Lepisosteus oculatus: one gene and its partner. Each later gene encodes a partner of the first gene's protein in a complex. Links are inferred from orthologs where the notes say so. Each region holds a gene or a part of one and is shown on either strand. Other genes may lie near its edges.

Evidence for each region.
Region 2: the proteins of oprl1 (region 1) and prepronociceptin are in contact, whole or in part, in a cryo-EM structure (PDB 8F7X), measured with the Homo sapiens proteins. The link is inferred for Lepisosteus oculatus from reciprocal best matches to the Homo sapiens genes OPRL1 and PNOC. Residues at the interface, in NP_000904.1 of Homo sapiens: Gln107, Asp110, Gly114, Phe115, Trp116, Val126, Ile127, Asp130, Tyr131, Met134, Gln192, Glu194, Ile198, Glu199, Cys200, Leu201, Val202, Ile219, Val279, Gln280, Val283, Gln286, Gln291, Pro292, Ser293, Val298, Leu301, Arg302, Thr305, Tyr309; in NP_006219.1 of Homo sapiens: Phe130, Gly131, Gly132, Phe133, Thr134, Gly135, Ala136, Arg137, Lys138, Ser139, Ala140, Arg141, Lys142, Leu143.

What each region holds. Positions count from the first base shown.
Region 1 is NC_090711.1:5,176,947-5,188,777, forward strand, and holds the start of oprl1 (nociceptin receptor), read left to right. Parts: upstream 1-7,032; 5' UTR 7,033-7,811; intron 7,812-8,176; 5' UTR 8,177-8,190; coding exon 8,191-8,402; intron 8,403-11,831.
Region 2 is NC_090697.1:60,107,325-60,118,170, reverse strand, and holds the start of prepronociceptin, read left to right. Parts: upstream 1-6,038; 5' UTR 6,039-6,123; intron 6,124-10,846.

The DNA of each region.
Region 1 (11,831 bases):
AGGCACTGTGATGTGACTCATTTCATGAGTCACATGTATGATTGAAAAAAACACAAGAATCTTAAAGAGCAGCTGTGAACGAGGTGTCAGAGAGACAGAACCAAATAAAAGGTCTGTGCTCACAGGCTTACTTTCCCTATCAGCACTTCTGCTAGAGGCTTTAACTGTTTGCCATTTCATGGAACTAGTGTGTGGAAGGCAGTCTGTAGATCTTACCAGTTTTCCTGAGATATCAGCTCAATCTCAGCTCATTATATTGGATAAAAACAGTGAGGTATCAGAAAGTCTTCAAATGAGAACAGCTGGGAGGTGGATCACTATAGGTTTTGCATGTTTTTTGGTGATACAGAATATGAACAGCACAACCAGTAAAATGCTACTCCCTGAAGGATAGCATTAAAAGATGTTTGTCATTAAATATGTCTATTAATTAAACTGGAAATTATTCCTGACACTTCTGTTTTGTATTCTTGGAAAATAATTCTTATTTCTTATAAGGAATTCTTTTAAGATTTAAACAAAATTAAGATGAATGTTGAAATGTATCTGGCCAGTGGTTTATATGAAAGGATGGAAAAATGGATTAATATAACCTGTTGCTTAACAGTTTTCCTGTTGAGTAGCTGTGCTGCGCTTTGAACATTAGGAATAAATCTGACAGTCTGACAAGATGACACAAATTCTAAAGTATATTTCTGCTTTTAACTATTTTTTTTACCTTCCTTCCTTTTTTTTCAATTCCTCCAAGAATTATTATGTCTACAGTCTAGTCTTCATACCATTGAAATGGTATAATGTATCATTTGTATTTGTTTGAATTTATGTCTTATTTGTTATTATGCACAGTACAACGATTGTCATGGTTTCTATATTCACAATTTTGAAAGGCTTTCTTCTTTGGCTGCTATTATGATTTTTTTATTATTTGTCCTTAAAAGAAAACCAGGTTAAATTTTCATATTTTAGAAGTAAGTGACATGAAAAATATTTAGAGCTCAACAAACATGATTAAAATACTATTAAAAAACTCATACTTTGATGGCACATTACTAAGTATGAATACCAGGGAACATAATACAAAATACTAAGGTATGATAATCACAATTCAAATGTTTGAGGCTTGGCATTCAAAGTAATTCTGACATTATCAAAATAGATTTTGTTCTTGTTTTGTACTGTATGTACTCAGTTTAGTATTAAAAAAATATTTGTCATTTTGTCCTTAGGATCAGTATGATCAAAGCTAATTGGCTGTTCATTCAGCTTTTAAAAAATGTAATAGATATGCAGTCAGATTTGCATGATTAAGAAGACGCTGCATTAATGCCTTCTCGATTTACCAGACAAATTTACATTATGACATTTAAAGATTAAACTCCAATAATCAGTTTTATTGAGTGGATGTACAAACTCTCTGCTTCCTGTTATAAGAAAATAATATTTTTATTTCCAAGAAACTTTTATTTACCCTTTGTAGTGACTCACAGCTTATTTATTAATTCCATCAATTCCATTAGACTCACAACCCTTATAAGTATACGCAGGATATATATTTTTCTTAGTATCATTTTAAAATATGTTGTTGCAAACATTTTTATATTTTAATGATTCTGTTTTGACATGATTAAGGTAGAACAGGAAGTATTATGTAAGACTGTTTTTAAATACTGTCCATCACAGGACTTTTACTTAAATCTTTAAGAAACAACTTTACATACTGAATAGACCAACTTGTGATTTCTGTTTTCATTTACAGTGGAATTAACCTCTGCCTGCTTCTCTGTGGCTTGACAGACACAATGACAGACCTCCCCAGTGTAAATCCTACATACAGTACAGTACAAAATCAAGGTAGCCCAAACCTTTCAGTAATGTCACAAGAAATAATATCAAGTTACTGAAAATGTATTTATTTCATATACTTTCTTAAACATTTGTTTTACATTTTAAGGTGTGATTGCTAATTACCGTCATCTAGACTTCCTGCTATCACTGAAGCGATGGGTTCATTGTGCACAACTCCCTTTAAAACTGCATTGTTCTAATTAACATTAAATGTTGGCCTTGTTGTTAAAATTACAAACTCACAGGTGCTGTGGTCACAGGGATCACGGTAGATCCCTGGCAAGTCAAGAATAACTAAGGGCACTGGGATCTATACAAACCAGGCACTTGACAATCACATAATGAAATAGCCAAGGTTCAAGCTGTTGGTGTCTTGACAGAAGAGCTCAGTGTGAGCTCTGGACAGGTGTCTTTAATAGTTAAACCATTCCCAATCCCAAAGTTATTCTTTGAAAATCACAGTTACGAATATTCAAAGTCATAAAGCAGTACTGTCTCCTGAGCATTCATATTCTAAATTCTTAGTGATTGCATGCTCTTAGAAAGCCATCATTATCCAGGAGTACATTCTTTGAAAATAAATATCTGTATTAAACAAATGGACTGTGGTATGTATTTCTTTTCATCTGGTCTGAGTAAAGAGGATAGAGCTGAACATGACAGCACAGTTGTCATCATAACAAAGGATGTAACAGTGTTAAAACCTGGATTGAAAATTGCAAGCATATTCTGTATATTGAGTAAGGGAAGTTTTTTGGGGAGGGTTTATATCAATAGCACACACATGAAACTTCCAAAAAGATTTATAATGTAAAGTAAGATTTGGATTAAAAAATTCTGCTTTGGTTATTTAGTTTTATTCATGTGGAAATGTAAGAGTAGAGATGGTTTTGAAAGTCCTTGAAGGAATATAAAATTATGATTAATTTGATCAACTCTAACAGATCAGGCTCGGCCTTGTTCAGTCTCAGCAAAAGTATGTTGTGCCAAATCAGGACAAAATAGCCCACAAGCTGTCCTGTATGGTCCAGAAGAGATAGATGTCAGAAGAGTACATAGAAAATAATGTTGATTGATGCTGTTATCAAATTGTAACAGAGAAATCCATCTAATAATTCTATATTTGATCAGCCACCTATCTGGGTTTACTAATGGAGACTGATGAATGCAAATGAAGATTGTATGAATGTTTTTGGAAACTGACATGCTATTATGTTGGGAGCATTACGTTATGGGGTTGCTTCTCATCAGCAGGAACAAGGGAGGTAAGTCAAGTTAAGTTAAGAGGAGTAAAAGAATGGAGCAAATCACAGGCACATCTTTGAACAAAACCAGTTTTCGCTGCTTTAGACATAAACTGGGATGGAAATTCACCTTTCACCAGCTAACAACCCAAAGCACTAGGCCAGCACTACGCTGGCTTGGCTTAACCAAGAAACAAACAAAAAAAAGAAATAAAAGAAACACAGAAAGTCAATGTTCTTGAGTAGTAGTAGCTGATGGTTGGTAGAGCTTTATCCAAAAGCCTTGCAGCTGTAACTTTCGAAGGTGCTTTCACCAAGTATTGGGAATAAAAAATATATTCATTTCATTTTCTGATTAATCTGTGGCAGTTTTAACTGACATGTAACTTATTTCATCCATCCATACAGCGTATGTTCAGTTTGAGTTCTCCAGTTTGGATTAAAAATACTCACTTTAAATAGGAGTCTTATCACTTGTCAAGTACATCATTTGTAATACAAAAATATGGGCCATCATTGGAAGGCATGAATATGTCTAAAAGGCATCGTATATAACCCATCTATATTTTGAGTACTGTACCAGGGACATATACTATATATACAGTATATACATCAAAAACATGGAAGAAGCAGAATTATATGAGACATGTTCAAGATAATGCAGTATTGTGCATGATGGTTACCGATTCTGTCTTACAGTTACTGTGTTGGGTTGTCTCCAGGTGCTCTGCTTTCCTCTCTCCTCTCACAATTTGCTGGCTTGGTTAACTGATGTCTCTAAACTGTGTGTGTGTGCCCTGCAATGCTGTATATTCCTGCCTTGTGAACAGTGCTTCTGGAATAGATTCTGGGAGTCACAGTCTTTACCAGGCAAAATAAAATTGGCTTTCTGATAACGGATGGATGGGTCATACACGTGCGACAGCTGTAGCTTTCTGAAGACAGATTAAAGGATTCAAAAGCAGAAGGGAAACGAAGAAAACCTTGTCTGCAACGTGGAACAGATGAAGACTTGTGAAGCTTTTCTGTTGTTGAATCAAGTGGTACTGTATATACTGTAAATTCTTCAAAAGCCTCTCAATTAAGGTTACAGCACTTGTTTTTCAAAATAATCTTAAATATTCATACATTTTTGTCATGAAAAAGTATTCATGCTTAAGAAGAAAGAGTCTATCCCAGACTGACAAAGTGTTTTACGCAGGGGGAAGAAGGGAGGCAGTAAAGTGAAAGGAATTTGAGCTGAGAGGTGGAGAGGAGTGAAAGGAGGCTGTCCATTTTAAGAACTCTACACGCCACTGATTTTTTTCTTTTTATATTGAACTCAAGCTTCTAGAATATTTCAGAAAGCATTGTTAGATGAATATTAAATTAATGCAGTGCTACACTGAACTTTATTTTATTTGTACTCATCCAGTAAATAGTGGTTATTTTATTAATGTAGCTATTCATTATTAAATTCTATTATTTCTGTGAATTGTAATTGACTTTTAAAAAACATGTAGTCAATGACAGTACTGAAGCTCCTGCAGACAGATTTGATTACAAGCATCAGAGTTCCAGTGGCTTTCCATAGTAACAAGGCTGACAGCTACAGCAACCCAATTAACATTTCCCAACATCCTTACAAAATGTCAAGCTCACATTCCAATTATTTCTACACAAGCCTCAGTACACTATCACTTAATTTAACAGCTTTAAGAGACATCTGTACCAGACTCCATTAGTGGACTTTGTTGGCATCTTTGTGTAAATCAAAGTCTTGTGTGACTGAATTAAAATCCAGTTCTATCAGAGGCATCAATTAAATTGGAAAAAAAAACTAACTTTTTTTTTATTTCCCGTTTCATAGTTAAAGTTAAGCCAATATGCTACAGTATTTGGATGGTAGCTTTTGTATATTTTCATTTTTTATAATTAATTTTAACCAAATGTGAAATTGTAAGAAATGGACCTACTGGGTTTGCTTGCAGAAAGCCTGGTTTGTCTCGCGGCTCTCATTACAAAGGAATTGATGCTTTGCAGGCACTATGGTAACGCCAGAGCAAAAGTCGTGTTAAAGGTTTTGTAGGGAACGGATTGGAGGATAGGTGTTAGCGCAGCGAACTCAGCGATAGATTAGGCTGGAGGCCATCATTTTTTTTCCAGAATGGCAAGAATTAAAGTATATCTTACACCAAGAATTGTTCTGGAAAGCGCCAAGGAACGAGGCTGGAGCTTTCTCCCGCAGTGCCATCGCTGATCGGAAAGAGACGGTGAAATCCACAACCTCTCAGCTCAGCACCATGGACAGCGGTCAACAGCTACAGCCTTGACAGCACAAGTGCTTCTTAGATTCAAAATGGCTTTCAGCTAGGAAGGTTTTATTGTACAGTAGCATGTTGCGATATTATTATTTGGTACTTTCCTCATTTTAAATTTATTTTAATTAAAAAATGATTTAAGAGCATATCAGTTCAAATGACCTTCTATAGCAGATCTACGGCTATACTATAAAAACGATTTTTTAAACCTTTTTAGAGTTTTGTGATAATGAACAATTGTCTAGTGTTTTGCTCCATGTGTTTAACGCTCCAATAAAAAAAAACAATAAGAAATTAAATTCTCCAAAAAGCTGTTTGAATATGAATTATTCAAACAGGGTTGTGATGGCAAAGACATTTTATCTTACATAAACAACAGACTTTTACTTTTCGGCGTGGGATTAGGCTCTAGATTTGCCTTTGAAACTCGCACAAGCACGCAGCTCTATGCGGCAGATTGACATGCCTTCTTGTAAAGGATTAATGATTAAGAATAATTGCATCGGGATACTGTATTTTCGATCATTTCAATAACTTTTTCAAAAAAATACAAACTGGAAATAAACATTTAGGACTGATACGAGTAGTAATGATGCTCCGCTATATGTACTGTAATACAGTAGTGCGATTGATAGGAAAATGTCATAATTTTGAACGATAGCTCCACCTGCAGACAGTAACCGAGAGAGCTGGGAATGAGAAAGGACGAGAGGGGCATGACTACAATGCGCTGGTATTTAAGATGTGCACGCGCGTAGTGAACATGACGTGTATCCTTACACTCATGCAACGCCACATTTTCAAAGCTCAATGTTTCTTTCTTAAATCTTTTTCAATATAAAAATATTTTGTGGTCCTTGGAAAGAAGACAGAAACGTGCTATAGGGCTAAGACGGACCTGTATTAAAATAATGAGAATAATGAAAACAGTAGCTATGTAAAAATATGCGACTAACTGTAGCCAGTCCAACCACAGGACAATAGCTTTCTGGTCAAAGTAATTACAGTAGCTGTGCCATGACGCATCAATTCATAATAAGCGCCTGTTATTTTAATGTGATTACTTATTAAGTAATACAGCACGTGCTTTTCAATGGAGTTAATGCAAAATGTACTGTTGATGTATTAAGTCATTATGTACAGTATTCATGGGCTATTCATATGGCTTTCTCTATTCGCCAAGATTGAATCATGAACAGCCACTTGCTGAAAAATGTTTCCTGTTTGGTATTTATATGAAAACATAAGTTGTTAGTTGTCCCATCCTAATAACTACTTACTGTACATAATCCACTGTCTCATTGAAAACCATTTGATAGCCATTTCTTTATACCACTGCAATACTATTGTACAGCATATACTGTACTGTATGTACATGCATGGGTTTGAGTAGTGTTATTACATTGTGTTTGATTCATCTAGTAAAATGCTTTCATGACACGTTTCCACGATGAAAAAAAAAACCTTAGTAAAGTACAGCCAAAAACATACAGTACATACAGTATACACATAATTTACATCCCCTTTAAGAGACAGATTGTGTTTGTAGTACACTTTCGTCTGTTGGGCTGTTCTCTCCAAGTTTCTGCATGCCGTACTGTATATCTGAAACACAAGTTGTGTAATTTTATATAAAGCTTCGCTTTACGCTTTTCTCTGCATTACTCTTAATCGTATCGTTTTTTTTATCGTTTACAACATAGTGTGCATCCAATTTAATTTTGTTTAAAAAGGGAGTCTAGCCCGAATGCAGTTAGGGCACGGAGCCCAGCAACTCGATGCTGTAAAGCATAAACACCCAAGACAGTCAGTAGCAGTGCTAGTAGCTTCTGAGTGCGTGATTGGAGACAAATTGAGTTCGACCTCAGAAGTTTTGATTTCTCCGCATACGGAAACAGAAAAAAGAAGGGAAAAAATACAGGAGGCACTGACACACACACAGAGGTACCAGGGCGCTCAGTCTACCGACTAGATGTCTGTACTCGACTGAAAGCCATGAAGACGCGTTGTATTTTAAGACTAGCGAAGAATAACAGTCTCCCTTAACACACAGTAAAGCTTCCAACAGTACTGCGTGAGCTTAATCAGATCTGGATTGCAGAACAAACGAAGAAGAAGGGGGGTTTCCAGCTTTGCCTGCTGAAAAAAAAAACATCCGCTTTAAATTGAGCATTATCTATCAGCAAGCACACTACCACACCTCCCCCCTCACATGTAAAAAAAAAATGTTTCGTTCATCTTAGAGGTCTACAGTAACCTGAACAGGCTTTGAGAATTGCAAACAGAACACTGAGAGGACATTTAAAAAGAAGGGGGAAAAAAAACAATCTACTGAACCGGAACCTTTGACATTCATCTTGGGAGACAAAAAAAGAGAAAATAGCTGATATTGAAGGAGAGGTGGAGTCCGCAATATATACCGGTATGTACCTGAAACTATACTGAATGATTTGCATGGGTCGCAAAGGAACTGGGGTTTAGCTTTCGTGCTGGGGGATTTTTTCTGTTACTTGACAAGTGATTAGTCGTTTTGATTAAATATGTATTGACTGTAATGTTGCCTGTAAAAATCAATTATGAGCCTTTGATATATGCAACGTAATTACTAGGGTGCAAAGTGACCTGACGTCAAATTCTTATGTAACATACTTTCTTAGTAAAAGTGATTGAGGCAAATAATTCATAAAGCTGGGTGTATTCAACTGTAATCAAAGAGTCTGTAAACAGGACCCGAGTCTAGAGATAAATGTGACAGGAATGTATCCCTTTTGTTTTCTTTAAAAACAGGTTAGCAGTTCATCATGGATTTCCCAAATGCACCAGGTGGTTTTAGAGACCCCAGTCTAAGCCGATTGCTCAACGACTCTGCTTTTAACATGAACTTCAGTGCTTATAACTACACCTTTGAGGGGGTACTGCCCATTGGCGTGAAGATTACAATTGTTGTACTGTACATGATCGTCTGTGTAGTTGGGCTGGTGGGAAATTGTCTGGTCATGTACGTCATTATCAGGTAAGTAAGACACGTTCTAACGTGCAAATTACTCTCGAACATACAGTAGATGTTTTATTTAAACTTTAAACATTTGCTGCGCGTTGTTGGCCTTAAACGTTTTATAATGTATGCTTTTTAAAATTTAAGTTATTTTATTGGCTCTTTTGCTCCCTCTTTTGGAATGTGGGTGGAATGAAAGGCTGTGCTCCTGTATCTCTTTTAAGTTTAAAAAAGTTTAAAATTCCGCATAATGCCATATTATGAAAGTCCTCGGATACGCGGTGTTGTTTCGATCACATTGACGTGTTCGACTGATTATTTTTTGTTTATCTGTTCCAAGCGAATTAATCAGTCAAAACCAATATCAGCAAAAAGAAATCTGCTTGAGTAAGTTGTGATGTGTGTCATTGCATGACGACCTCTAAAAGGTTACTGAAATGCCCCGAAAACAACGATGGAAAACGGCCTTTGATCGCGCTTATAAAACGTATGTATTGAGATCTTAAAGTAAAAAGAAAAGTTTTAGAGGATTTTTCTGATTATTAAACATGAGCTTTCCTTGAAAACGTGATTGCTGTGTACACAAAACGTGAAGCAATTGAACAATAGTGTTGTTGTAACAACAGTACTGTATGTGTATTTTCACACCACACATTTTTAAACTTTAAACTTTTTTTAATATGAATAAAAAACTGCAAATTAAAGCATAATAAGCAGAAAGAGAAATTAAACAACAGACTGCTCTTTTTTTTCAGTGATTGTTCTGTTCCATATACAGTATACAGTATTCTCTGGAGTGGTTAATACTGTATATTGTTGTCTGTCGTTGTGCCTTGGCAGAACTGTAATGTATCAGTCATTATTGCCAATAAAGCCCATTGAATTGTTTGCAACCAAGTGATTATATTTCAGTTACAACTTCAGCTTTATATCTCGTGATCTGAGCAGACTGAGCTCATCAGGCCAAAACATATTTCTATTTTTCAACTGTTTAAAGCATTTTGTTCAAACTCCAATGCCAATGCAGCTTTTCATGTTCACACTCACTGTTAACAAATCTACGTGGTCCAATAAAATAGTTTAACTTGAGCTATGTTAAGTCATGGCAGCATAATTAATTTTCTTGTGCTTCGTTGTTGTTGATATAGGGTACTGAATTGTATTTCCTTAGCTTGCTGGTCATCTTATAAATACAGGCCCAGGCAAAAACAGCAGATCATCTGCTGAGGTGAGCCTTGAATGTGAGTGAATGCTGACTAGATGTTCACAGGTATCTAACAATCTTCCTCGAAACTCACCCAATGTCAGTGCTTCTATTCTATTTCTGGTTAATGTTACCAAAGATACTCCAGGTTGGTTTGGAACTTAAAGTTCACTTATACTTTATTCAATTTCCAAATATCAGTCAATAGCAAATGTTTTGAAGACATTGAGAAAAGCTGAAAACATTATGTTTTTGATGTGACATCTTTTTGAGAAATTCAGTGTGAAGTATAACCACAATGGCATTTGTTTTTATGGTGGTCATTTTGGTTTTAGAAATATTTTCATAGCAAAATACAAATAGGAAATAGAAATTTCTAACAATCCATAGCTGAACCGCGTAATATACAGCCCCTCTGATTCACTTCTCTGTTGTACTCTAGTGCAACCAGAACCTCAGTTACTATATTGATCCCACTTACTACTTACTAATTACTGAAGTGAGCAGCTGCTTGCTGCAAAATTATTCAAAGGACTGGCTTGGATAGACTGCAGGTTGAATAGCTCTGGTGTGTGATGTACTGAATATAGAGAGATGTCCTCTATATATATTTATCTAGGACATGTATGAAACCCAGTAGAAGCCATGATCAGTGCTATCTGGTATAAAAATGTGTCTAGTGCTAAGTCAGATAGCAGCTCTTCATGGGGTTATGCAATTTTACAATTTAAGAGAACAGTCTGTGAAGTATGGAATGCCACTGGCTCAGGACAAACACTAACAGTGGAACACTTACATTTATTGAGTAACAAATGGCATTGTACAGAATTACATCAGTTTAACACTGCTATCATAGTCTTAGAAATGTTCAGTGCCAAAGCATACTCTGACCAATATGTGAGTTCTGATATATAATTGTCAGTACTACAAACACATTTGAATATCTGTTATTAAGGAACAGTGAAATGGAGGTGGAACCATTTATCTTTTTTAAAAAAATGATAATACTTAATATGATAAGACAGTAGGAATGTATAAAAGTAAATTTATTAACTCTTATTTTTATGTACAAACACACCCATCCAAAATATTTATCTTTATTCAGTATGCCGTGTTCGACATCTATTGTTTAAAATTTTGAAACAAAACAACCTTAGGGTATAGGTGTATTAAGGATCCAGATTCTGATTTTTTTTTTCTGCTAATATTTTTTGCTAAGTTAGATATTGTGTGCCTTCAAAACTACCAAATCAGAAGAATGAAGATAACAAAGGTGTATTTTGATGAAAGGTTTAAAATATTAACAATTTTACAAAATGTTACTGTTAAACATGATTAAAGACTCTTAGGCTGGTTGTCACATCTTTTTACTTGCAGATATTGTAAAATCTGATTTTGATATTCTGAAACAAACTCTTATAATAAACTTGCAAGTCCAGAAAGGCAAAATAAATATGAACAAGGTACTGTATATTAAGTGTTTTATTTTTTTTGCTTTAGCATAATTTAGGAATTTTGGCTGGATTCTGTTTGAAGACAGAGATAATGGAGCAAATTGTACTGTACATTAGGGCAGAAAGATTTGAAATTCTTTAGCCTCATGTGTAAAGGCTTATTTGGAATCTGATTCATAGGAAAACAATACCTCTCTGAAGGCTTTCTTGAAGGACAGAAATGAATGTCAGTATTATCTTCATCTTATAGGTCACATCGGTATTTTGTGTTGTTTAGTCCTCTAGTTGTGATTCAATTCTTAAGATACTTCCAGTATCATTCAAGATGTAATGGTATGGCCTTACTTGTTTTTTCAAAAACGTTCTTTATCCTGAATACATACATGAATGCGTGGCTTGTACTGTAGGCTTTTGCATTGCTTCTTGAATATGGATCACCACAGGTGATTGTTGGAAAAGATAACAGTAGTTGTGCTACAAAGTAGCACTAGGGTCTAATAAAATAAAAGGGAAATGTTCATTGCTGTTCATTTCCCAAAAGAATGGAGAGGAAGGATTATTTATAGGCATAGCAAGTGTAAGGAAGCTTGGCAGTTGTAAACAGTGCAGCAGCTGTACTTTTTTTACTTTGATGTTTATGCTCCAAAGCTGAATATGAAATGGGGCATGTTTTCATATGAGATGTGAATTTGAGTAATGGGCTATTCAGGAATTGCAAGGTCTCAAACAATAACTTGTGGGTGATCTTCATTATTGCTATGAAGGCTAAATTTGTTCATTTTCTTACAG
Region 2 (10,846 bases), on another chromosome or scaffold:
CATAGCCAGTGCAAACTCTACACGAGAGGCCAGAATCAACCCCAATATCAAGAATCTGTGCAATCACAAGTAATAGCAGAAATTATCTGTTTAAATAAGAGTCCTGCAATGGATAAAGGGGTGTCTTTGTGGCTTTCATATTGATGAGAACTAAACACTTGGTAAAAAAGTACATATTATTTCAATGTTTTTTCTTCCATCAACCTACAGCAATTTAACAGGGAGTGCTTTCACCTGAGAAGAAAGAGTCAAATAGGGACAGGTATTCTATATTTTTCAAATTAGTGACTAAAAAAACTAGTGAATTCATAATAAACCAAATTAAAAAGAGCAATGCATGTAATTAAGAAAATTCAAACAAACGCGTTAAAGTGAAATCAACACAAACTGAAATGATTAAAATAATAATTTGAAGTAAAAATAAATAAAACATTCTTTTTAGGTAATTGCAATACTCATCAATTTGTTTGACCCCCTGCAATATAGACACATAATTACTGTGACTAAGAACAGATGATTTTGAATTGAAGCCATTAGAGAGAAATTATAAAACCCTAATTAGACACCGAAAAAAAAATTCAAGAGGAGCCCATGTGTCAATTTGAATTACTTGTAATGAAAAATTAATTGAATAACAAAGATTAAAAAAGAACCAGATGCGATGCATATGACTTGAAATGATTAAATCTGCAACAAATCTAGCCTAAATATATCATATCTAAAAATTTTCTTTTTATGAATGGGCCGTTTCATTTTTAAAAGCAGGACCCTGTTTATACATCACCTGTTTTTCATTTACCAATTGTAAATAATCTTGTGTTGCAGCTTCCTTTGAACTGGCAGGGGAGAAATGTAGACAGCGTTTGTATCTCCTACAAAATACACACTGCCTCCAGATTCTTGCTCTCTATCTACTGTACATATCCAATGCAATAATAGCAGGCTGATGGAGGGCACTGATACAGCGCAGGGTCATGTCTGACTAGTTACCAACGTAGAAGCTGAGTACAGGCTGTAGAATTCACAAAATTATGGCAAATTTAGTTTGAATGCTCTTAACCACAATCCAGCTTTGTGGACAACTAGCAAGTAAAATCGATTATGAAAGAGCCAATATTCAGAACAGTGATGTGTGCATTTTAGGGCCTACTGTACATCTGAACTGCAGTTCATTTTTCAAAATGGCAGAGCTCTGAATTATATTCAATTTCATATTTTACCAGTTCACCCATCCAGGAGTACCCTAGTGCTAGTTTTCAGATTGAAACTAGATAATTATACTCACTGTTAAATTGTTTCACTTCATCATTTAAGTTACTTGCTTATTATATTTCTAAAATTAATATTATAACCATATTTTTTCCATTATGTTTGCTTAATGAATTGTGCTCCTCATTTTTGTTTTTACCATTAAAACTAATATGACATGACTTTACTTTAAGCTTTTAAACAACAACATTCACAAGCTTTAATTTACAGAGCAAGTTGTATGAAAGCCATTATTCATACTAATTTTTGTAGAATAGCCAGATTGCTGAGTCCTTAGAGGTCTCTGACCAACTGACAACTGTAAAAATTCTGAAAATACTGAAATTCCCAGTGTTTTAAACTGAGCAAGACAACAGCATCTAAAATATAAGGAGTTCATTCTTAATTATAGTTAGAATCTCTTTATTATTTACATTTCTAATCTCTACATATCAACAGTTAGGCATCCAATTCAGCAATTATAAGTTATTATTAATGCAGAACTACATCAATTTTAAAAAGTAGCCTTATTGTATACATTTGGCCAAACAATGGGCTCAAAATGGATATAATATAAACACAACAGCATTAAGTGACTTGTACTTGTGTATTAGTATGGTTTCATTACTGACTCAACTAAGGGTACAACAGCTAAATCAGGCTATTCTGAGATCTACAGTTTTCAGAATGCATTATTTTCAGTTCTTGGACCTTCTTAGATGTATATGGACAGAAATGGTCAAACCAGGGGAGAATGAAAGGCCATTAGAAAACTAAATCCCCTCATTTGTCAAATCCTCCTTTGGAATGGGTCAAAGATTTACTATGTACTGTATGCATAATTATTGAGAGTTACAGGATTGTAACTTATAAAAATCAGAAATATTGTATTACTACAATTTAGTTTTTGTCACAATTGTAAACCCCTCCTCTTAAGGACGCTCTAGCCCTTCCTTGTTTTATTCGTAATCTCCTGCACCTGCCTTCGGTTCCTGGCCCCGTGCTATTAAAGCCAGATGTTCCTGCCAATCTAGGCTCAGCTTTGGACGATGGATGCCCGGAAGCCCGCCTACCAGCGAGTCCAGGAGCTGCTCAACGGCATAGGCTTCAGAACGGCATCCTGACCATCTGGGTCCGGGACTGGGAGCGTCCGGCCCCGTTACCCCCCTTTTATTCCCCCGACCCTTCACAGATCCCGCTCCGGCTTTTAACTCCGTTTGTCTGTGTCAGGATGGATCACCCGGATTTGGACATTGACTTTCCCTGGTTTATCTTACAGACTCCTTTGGATTTGTTTGCCCTGGACACACACACGCCCCTCCCCGAACACCAGCGCACCTTGGACACGCCCCCTGTTCTTCTTCCAGCCCCTAACCTAGTACCTAGTCTTTTTCCCTATGTTTTCTCTCTCCCTTCCGGATTGTGTTGTCTGCATAAGGTCCTGAAAGATGTGGCAGAGTTTGCCTCAATTCATATGGGAACTTGGATTTCTTCTCTTAAATTACATTCTGTTGTTATTTAATATAGCTGGTTGGCAATATTAAGAGTACCAGGGAAAGATCCTTTCCTCATTATTCCATTCTGTATGGAGTATCTCTGCTACAAGAGAAAACTCAGTACAATTTTCCTAGTTCAGTCAAAAAGAAATTCTCTCACTTGTCAGAAAGTCACTTAAAGACATTATTTCTTCTACCTCAAGTACAGTACATTAGTTTTATTCCACTGGTACTCTAAATAAAATAATGAAAGAATTTAAAAACCGTTAACATAGTTTTGAAAGTTGCTCATTCAAAGCCTTATAATGGAGCATTGCCCCTGAAAAATTAATTTGGAGATAACAACGATAAAATATAATGTGTATAATAATTTGAGGAGGTCATGCATATTAGCTTATTTTAAAAGACATGCTAAGAAACTTTGTTTTTTTTCTGTGACTTGTATAGAAAATGAAAAGAATACTGATAAAAGAACAATAAATAATATTTTTTGTTTCAGAATACTAATTATAACTCACAAGGCATTTAAAGGAAATTTGACATAGTTAAGCAAAGCAATATGATTTTTGTACTGACCATTGACATATAGCTTTATTATCCTGAAGGGCTGAATTACTTTGAGCTCTTGAGTGTGGAGGAGTTCATATTTACCAAATATGAGGCAACTCCATTGTTTTTTTCCCTTAGGCTTGAATGATTTCAGATAGATTTTCAATTGCACATATTTTACCTTTCGAACCAAAGGATTTATTGTTTTTTTCTGTTCTCCTAAGAGTAATTATTTTCTAAAAGGTAAGTAGTGAGTTTCTGCTTTATACATTAAAGAAATGTGTGTAGGCGGTACAGTATTTTTATTTTGTCAAAAAGGACAGTGGATTTTCTAGATTTGGGTGGGGAAGGTCACAATTCCATTAATGCATTGTTTGAGGTAGTGTATAATTATTTTATTTTTTATGTGATACATTTTGTGGAGGATTATATTATGGGTTGGGATGCATTGTTTGAAGGTTATTGGTTGAAGAGGAGGAGGTTGCGAAATTACAGCAATTAAGTCAATGAGAGCTCAGATGGAATTAAAACTAGAGGATCTTGTGACCTCAAGGTGTGATATTGAATTACCGGAAGACAAGAAATATTTTACATGAAATAAGTAAATGAGAGACTGACGCAAAATGTACCAGCTAGCTTGTCCAATAGTTTGCTCTCTTAAATCAGTGTTCCATGGAACCACGCTTCCCCTACCCACTGCTATAACTCCCACAGGTCTGTTCCAGTAGCTGAGCCATCAATCAGACTGCACCTCTCCGTGAAATTGCATCTCTCCTAACAAGTGAGGTATTATCATTGCTTTAACTTATATTTCTGGAAGCATCCTTTTAATGAGAAAAAATATTTCTTACTTATTTGTTTGGGATATGTAGGGCTTTTCCGGTTTTGATAGCTGAAAATGTATTTAGAGTCAACTTATTTAATGCTTATATTACAAAAAAAAAACATTCACTATTACATTTTTGAATGAGAATGTAGCAAAATGGTTATGAAATCCAGTCTGGTTCTATTTGTGATTTAATAACTCCAGTTTCATGCAACTATTTAAGTTCAGAATTGAGTTAAAATAAAACCATACCACTTTAAACCTAAGATGCAAAAAACAAAATGACATATTTTCTTTATGCATAAGATACTATAGTGCCTTGTCATTTCCTGGCTATTTATTTTTGGGTGAACAGGAAAGGAATTTGGGATGACATTAGCTTTGGGTGAATGAATAAAACGTGTATCTATGTACAGAATCTTTCATCAAGTCCAGATCCTAAAAAACTTTCCAAGTTCTTAAGCAGACACTGAATTGCAGTGCTCCTGCCAAGTCTGTATGGAGCTGATAAAGAATTTAAAGACAAGCGACTGAACCTGCTTTCTGGCTCACCTGTATCTGAGGTCTTCAACTGATTACTGATGAGTACTGACTGGTTGCCTGATTACTGAGTGCCAGAGCTTGTCCGTAGATTACAGCACTCCTAAAAAAAAGGAAAAGGAACAGAACTGGGTGTAAGCCAAGCAACATTTTCTGTACATAGAATGGCCACAGAATATTTCCTAGACTTTACTGAACTTGAGTACTGATGGTACTCATCCTACCCCACCCCACCCTGTCTGTGTGTGTCTCATGGAGAGCAAGTTCGGGTATGTGAAAAGACAAACTCTTAATACAAGAAATTGTATATGGCCAATAAAGTGATCTAATAAGATCTCTTATCTATCTCAGCAAGCAATGGGCACAAGGCAGGATACACCACTGGACAGAATGCCAGTCCATTTCAGGGCAGACACATACATACAGTATCTAGGCCCAGCTTTCCAAGAAACCAATTAAAATGCTAGTCTTTGGACTGTGGGAGGAAACTGGAGCACCCGGAGGACATCCACATGGACATTAGGATGCAAAATCCATATATTTAGTACTTCAGGATTCCAGTGCTGTGAAATCAGTCTGGCAAATCTGGGATACACTGACGCTGGAGTTGAGCAGGTTCTGTGTACTGGTATGTATAGCAGATTGCACAAGTGTTGCTATTGAATGTTTTCTAAGCATATAAATACATTAATATTCACCCCCTAATTTAATTTATCATTCTTTGCTAAAGTTAGGAATGATGTTGAAGAAACCACATCTGTGTCTCTAATTAACATGAGCTCAGCAAATGAATAAATACATATTGAGGCAGAAATAATTAAAATGAACCCAAAAGATTTTGATGGAAGAGGTAATTTCAAGATTTAAATGTTATTATTTCTGAATTAGATACCTGCAACAAATACAAAGTATATTTAATAATTAAGTCCTTCTGCATCATCTGCACAGAATGTTTTAAAGGAATTGCAGTTGAGACTGGAGGAGTCCCCCAAACCTAACTGGGGAAGAGCCCAGTTACCCATAAGACATGATCCTTTTAAAAAAGACAACTATGCATGAGAGTAGGTTTTGACTTTAGTGTTGAGAGAAACAGAGACCCACAAAGACTGTTACAGAGATGGGGGATGGGTGCGGCAATGCTGGGAATTTATTTTATTTTTTTGCACCTCGTCCATTCCCGGAAATGAGAGGCAAGTGACGCAGGTTGGTAGTATGCTGTCTTTGAGTCACTTAATGTGTCCATCTGTCTGTCTCTCTTGCCTCCTGCGCAGGAAGCTGTCTCTTTCTCTAAGAGAGCAGGAGGGAGGGAGGCTATGAGAGAGGATGGACTAAGGGGAGGGGTGTGTCAATATAAGAGAGCAGCATGACAGGAGCACTCCAGTTACTTCAGGAGCAGAAGACAGGACAGTACTGCCACATCCTGATTCCCAAAGCAAAGGACTCATCAGATTTCAACACAGAGAGGTAGGGATTGGCAGGGTTTTCATCAGCTTCAGCTCTGGGGATTGTTTCTGATTGGGGGTGAGGGCTAGCATCAATTGCTTTTGAAGAGACAGGTTCTCTTTTTTTTCCCCTGGAAGTGATCTCTTGCTCTCTGTGCTTTTCAGTTTGTGGAAGTTTTCTTGTCTTCCATTTAAACATTTGTATCTCTCATTCTCAAAGGGGCATAATTTTATGATTTTTTGGATTTTTGTTTCTTTGCATTTTCCAAGATCAAAAATAGATCTTTTTTTCATGTTTGTGTTCTTTTTCTATTGTCTTGTCGTTCCCTGTCTTGGACTGTAGGTTTTACAGGTCACTTGCTCGTATCATTTCTTAATGTTTCATTTACTCCTTTTCTTTTAAGACATTCCTTATATAATTTGTTTTCTGTTGTTAAATTTAAAAAAGATCTGCATGGCTTAGTTCACGTTCTTTGAAACAGTCCAGTTAAAAGTTTATGTTGTCCAAAATGTTAGTTTCTTCAAAGTGTAGTGTCTTTGCAGCTCTTATTCTTTTTATTTTTTCCCCAAATATAATCTACTTGGAAATTAAATCTACTATAATCTACTATAATCAATTTGGAAATTAAAATGACTGTACTCTACATTCTTCAATTAGTTCATTTTCATTACTCGGTAACTTTTAAATGATTTACACATTCTTTTTTAAAAAAAAATTACAAAAGATTTTCTCTCCTGCACTTAATTAATTTATTATCTTTGATATCTGCTAATATTTTTCTGCATTTCATAGACTAAAGGGGGCTATACTGTATATCCTTAAATTTATCTTCTGAGAGGCAATTTATGCACTGAGTCATTGAAAGTCTAAAAGATAAGTATTAAACTTTTTAAAATTTTCTAGCGTATACAGTATATTGTACTGTATATATTAAATAAAGTTGAATCCATTTAAAGGGTTGAAGTTTTTAACTTTTAGAACTTCAGTCATGGAGATGGAAATATTCAGCCTATCATAGCCTGTCACATTTAAGAGACTATAATAAGAAGTATGATTACCATCATCATATTACAATTATTTTTGGTTTGCAAAATGTATTAATGCAAATTAGCATGAAGAACAGAAATCTCAAATGCCATATGGAAGTCTTTACAAACCTGTTTTAATATACTCCTTTCCTTCATTCACTTCCTTCACTTTTATGCACAAACTGTCAAACATTTTTACATTTGAAATACATTTGTTTTGTGTTCCTTGTTAATATTTTCCAACTCTTAGCTTTATCTAAAACTGTGTACCCACTGACTAAAACTTCATTCTGGTGTATTCCATCTAAAAAATTCCTTTTTTTGGTCTCGGGGTTAATTTGACAAAGAAAATGTACGAACTACATTTTCATTGATGAATTTCTGAGCTCTATATATAACACTATCGTACATGCTTTGTGTCTGTTTCTGTGAGGACCCCCCACATCATTTTTTTGTTAACATATAATCTGATTTGGAAATACTACACCTTTTTCCACATGGAGAATACTCAAGGTAGTACACATAATTCCAAGATACTTCAAATTTTTTACTATCTGCATATATTTTATGGGTTATATATTGATGATAATTGCACCTCTGAAAAATGGGGACTTGTCGAGAAAGGTAGTAAATAAGATAAATAGGTGTCTGGCTTTTGCTATTATTTTTTTCAGTGGATTTATTCTGCCATCACAGATTATCTTCACAGACTTCTGACACCATTAACAATCTCCAGTAATGAAAGGCTCTGGCCTCAGGGAAGGGGAACACTGTTGTGTGCTCTTTTCAAAGAAACAGTCTGTGCCAAGATAATGCAGGCGACTGGGGCAGGGAGATTAATATCTGACTTTGTGCGCGATGTTTCATGCTTTAAAATCCTACTGAGCCCGATCACAACATGAGAATCTCACATTGCTTTTTCAATCTCGCACATTGACTTTTATAGCAATTGTCCTTCGTTAGCAAACAGCTTTTCGGAGAGTCTCTGCCTGATGATTGACAGTTGACACAATGTGTCATCATACTTCCACCCAAAAGTAACTGGTTATAGTCATCATGCTGATTTCTTTTTTTAGAAATGCGCACAAACCACGCTAAACATAAATAAGTGGTTCGTTAATGAGATTTCTTCCAGTAAATGTTCACAGAAACTTCCTAATTCTGCAAAATGTTTGCAAGCTTCAATGTTGAAATTATACTGTCTCATGGACAACCCAGAAAAGACACTTAACCCCCCAAAAATTAAAAATAAATCTAATGGTCTCTTTGCACTGAAAACCAAAATGGGATAATGACAAGGGTTTGCTAGTTAAGTAATTAAGATTAAGGGTCTGGTTATGAGATATTTCAAGTTCATATCCCAAGCTCAGGTTCTGGCTCATTACTGTTACTTGATAAAGTACTGTACATGAACTTACATTACTTAGGATCATTATGTATTGTTCCTTTGGATGAAAGTTAAAACCAAAGTCATATTGTAAAAGCCTCTGCAGCAAGTAATTTGTGACACAAAGCTTGCCTAGCTTCTATAAGCCTCTCCTCTCTGGATATAGGTGTCTGGTAATTCATCAATAAAGAGGTAATTTGGTATATTTAAAAATAATGCATTTAATACCATATTATGACCTTTCAACATGTTATGTTTATCTCTTGCTACTGGGTAGTATGAAATTCTCTCCTGCAAGTCAAAATCAGGGTTCTTGATTTCCTTGAAATCATTGTTTTTGTTAAGGTGTCTCTAGTGAAACAGAGATTAATCTAAATCTTCAACGTTGTAAGCACTAAATAGAAAAGAAAAGGGAGAGGAAAGGGTGTCCTTTAACAGTTTAGTCTGGAATAGTATGTGCTGTGTCAGTGATTAAGGAAAAATAAAAGAAGATTGTGACTATATTCTAATTTCCACCAAATAAAGGAATCAGGGCATAATGGAAAACATTTGCAGGATTTTAAAATAAGTCCCAATATGTACATGTACTTTCCATTGATTTATGTTGTGGTGCTGTTTGAGGGATTTCAATATGACATAGAACTGGATGGTCACATTGCACATCTGAAGATGCACACATGTTGCATACTGTACATTTCTGTTGTGACGTACTGGAGAGATGTGCTGAACCATTGAAAGTTTCAGAAAGATCTGAACATTCAAAGCAGTTCCTTATCACTATGTCTATAAGCGGTGTGCAACCATCCTGACATACATGTAACAGCTCTCCAGCAGGACGACACATTAATTCCTATGATGCTCACCTAACAATGGAATGGCTTTCTTGCGAGTGTGACAGTTGTGCTATGGATGCCCAACTCACTTGACTTGGGTTGGCATGTATCATATGTGGTGCAGAGACCAGTGAAAAGCACTTGGCCAGGACAGAGAGCATCTGCAACCTAGTGCGATGAAACATACAGCTTGTTAGGCTTCCAGTGGTGGCCAAAACTATGCACTTTTTTCACTGGATTAAACCAAACTTTTTCAGGTTTGCTGAAAAATATTCTGTGTTCTTCTGTGTTATCATGCATCTGACAAATAAAAATTATCTTAATCCGATAACAACTAATGACCATCCCAGTCTATTGTGCATTGTTCTGTAAGTTGAGTACTTCTACCAGATTTCATGAGTTCCTCATTTACATTACATACTACAGTAAGAAACTGTTCATGTCATAACCATATTTTGCTTCAATGCCGATGGTAAGAGACTTAATATGATTTAAGATTTTTGTCCTTTTAAAATCACACAGTCTCAGCTTTCCTGCTTTTCTGGTAGGTTTAATTGAATTTGCTTTGGATTAGGTTGTTCATCTAGTCTTTCACTGTGAAATAAATTTACATTTCTGGTATGATTCCTGTATTTCCCATTCTACATGTACAGGTAAAACTTGTTTTCATAGCAGAAATAAGATACAAAAATAATCTTTAATATTAAGATTGCATACTTTGTGGCTGGCTTCCTTCAGGGTCCTTGCTTGGTTAAGGTACGTAACAGCAGAGAATACAGAAGAGAAGCAGGGTGAGGAGAATATACTGTAGCACAACACAGAACAGTGAAAGTCCAAACTTTCACAGAACAGAGAATGTCCAAATGTTCACAGAACAGAAAAAGCACACACATGTCCAAATGTGTGTGCTTTTTGAACTCTGATGCTAAGGAAGGTTGAACCAGTACTGGTCAGTGATGGCATTGAAGACCTTGAAGGAAAACCAGGTTATTAATGATCCCTTCTGCAAACTGAAAAAATGTATATATGTTAGAAAGCAGATTCTTTCTTAGAGTCAGGAAATCAGGTTTTGATTTGCAGTTTATTCTGAAATGGTACATCAAACATAAATGAAGTTACACATTTTATTGATGGAGACCAAAAAGAATTTTGTCAAAGCTACATATGTTTTTTTCTAGAACAAAAATATGCAGTACAAGCCTATACTGTATGAGTTCAAAGTGACAATACACAAACCAGTAAATTAATTTTCTCAACTGCAACAACCTTTTGTTTTATAATATAAAGTATGTTTATCACATTTATCTCATTAAACAGTAAATGTTTAATATTTAAGACGTCATGCCTTTTCATGGTTCAAACAACACCACTCAAATACTGTTGTAAGAAGTCCTCTTTTTCCTGCAATGGTGAAAAACAGTATAAAATAAAGCTGTTTTCTAAAGGTTTGATTTAGTTTTCTTTAGTTCACTGCTGCCTTAAAGACTCAAAGCAAG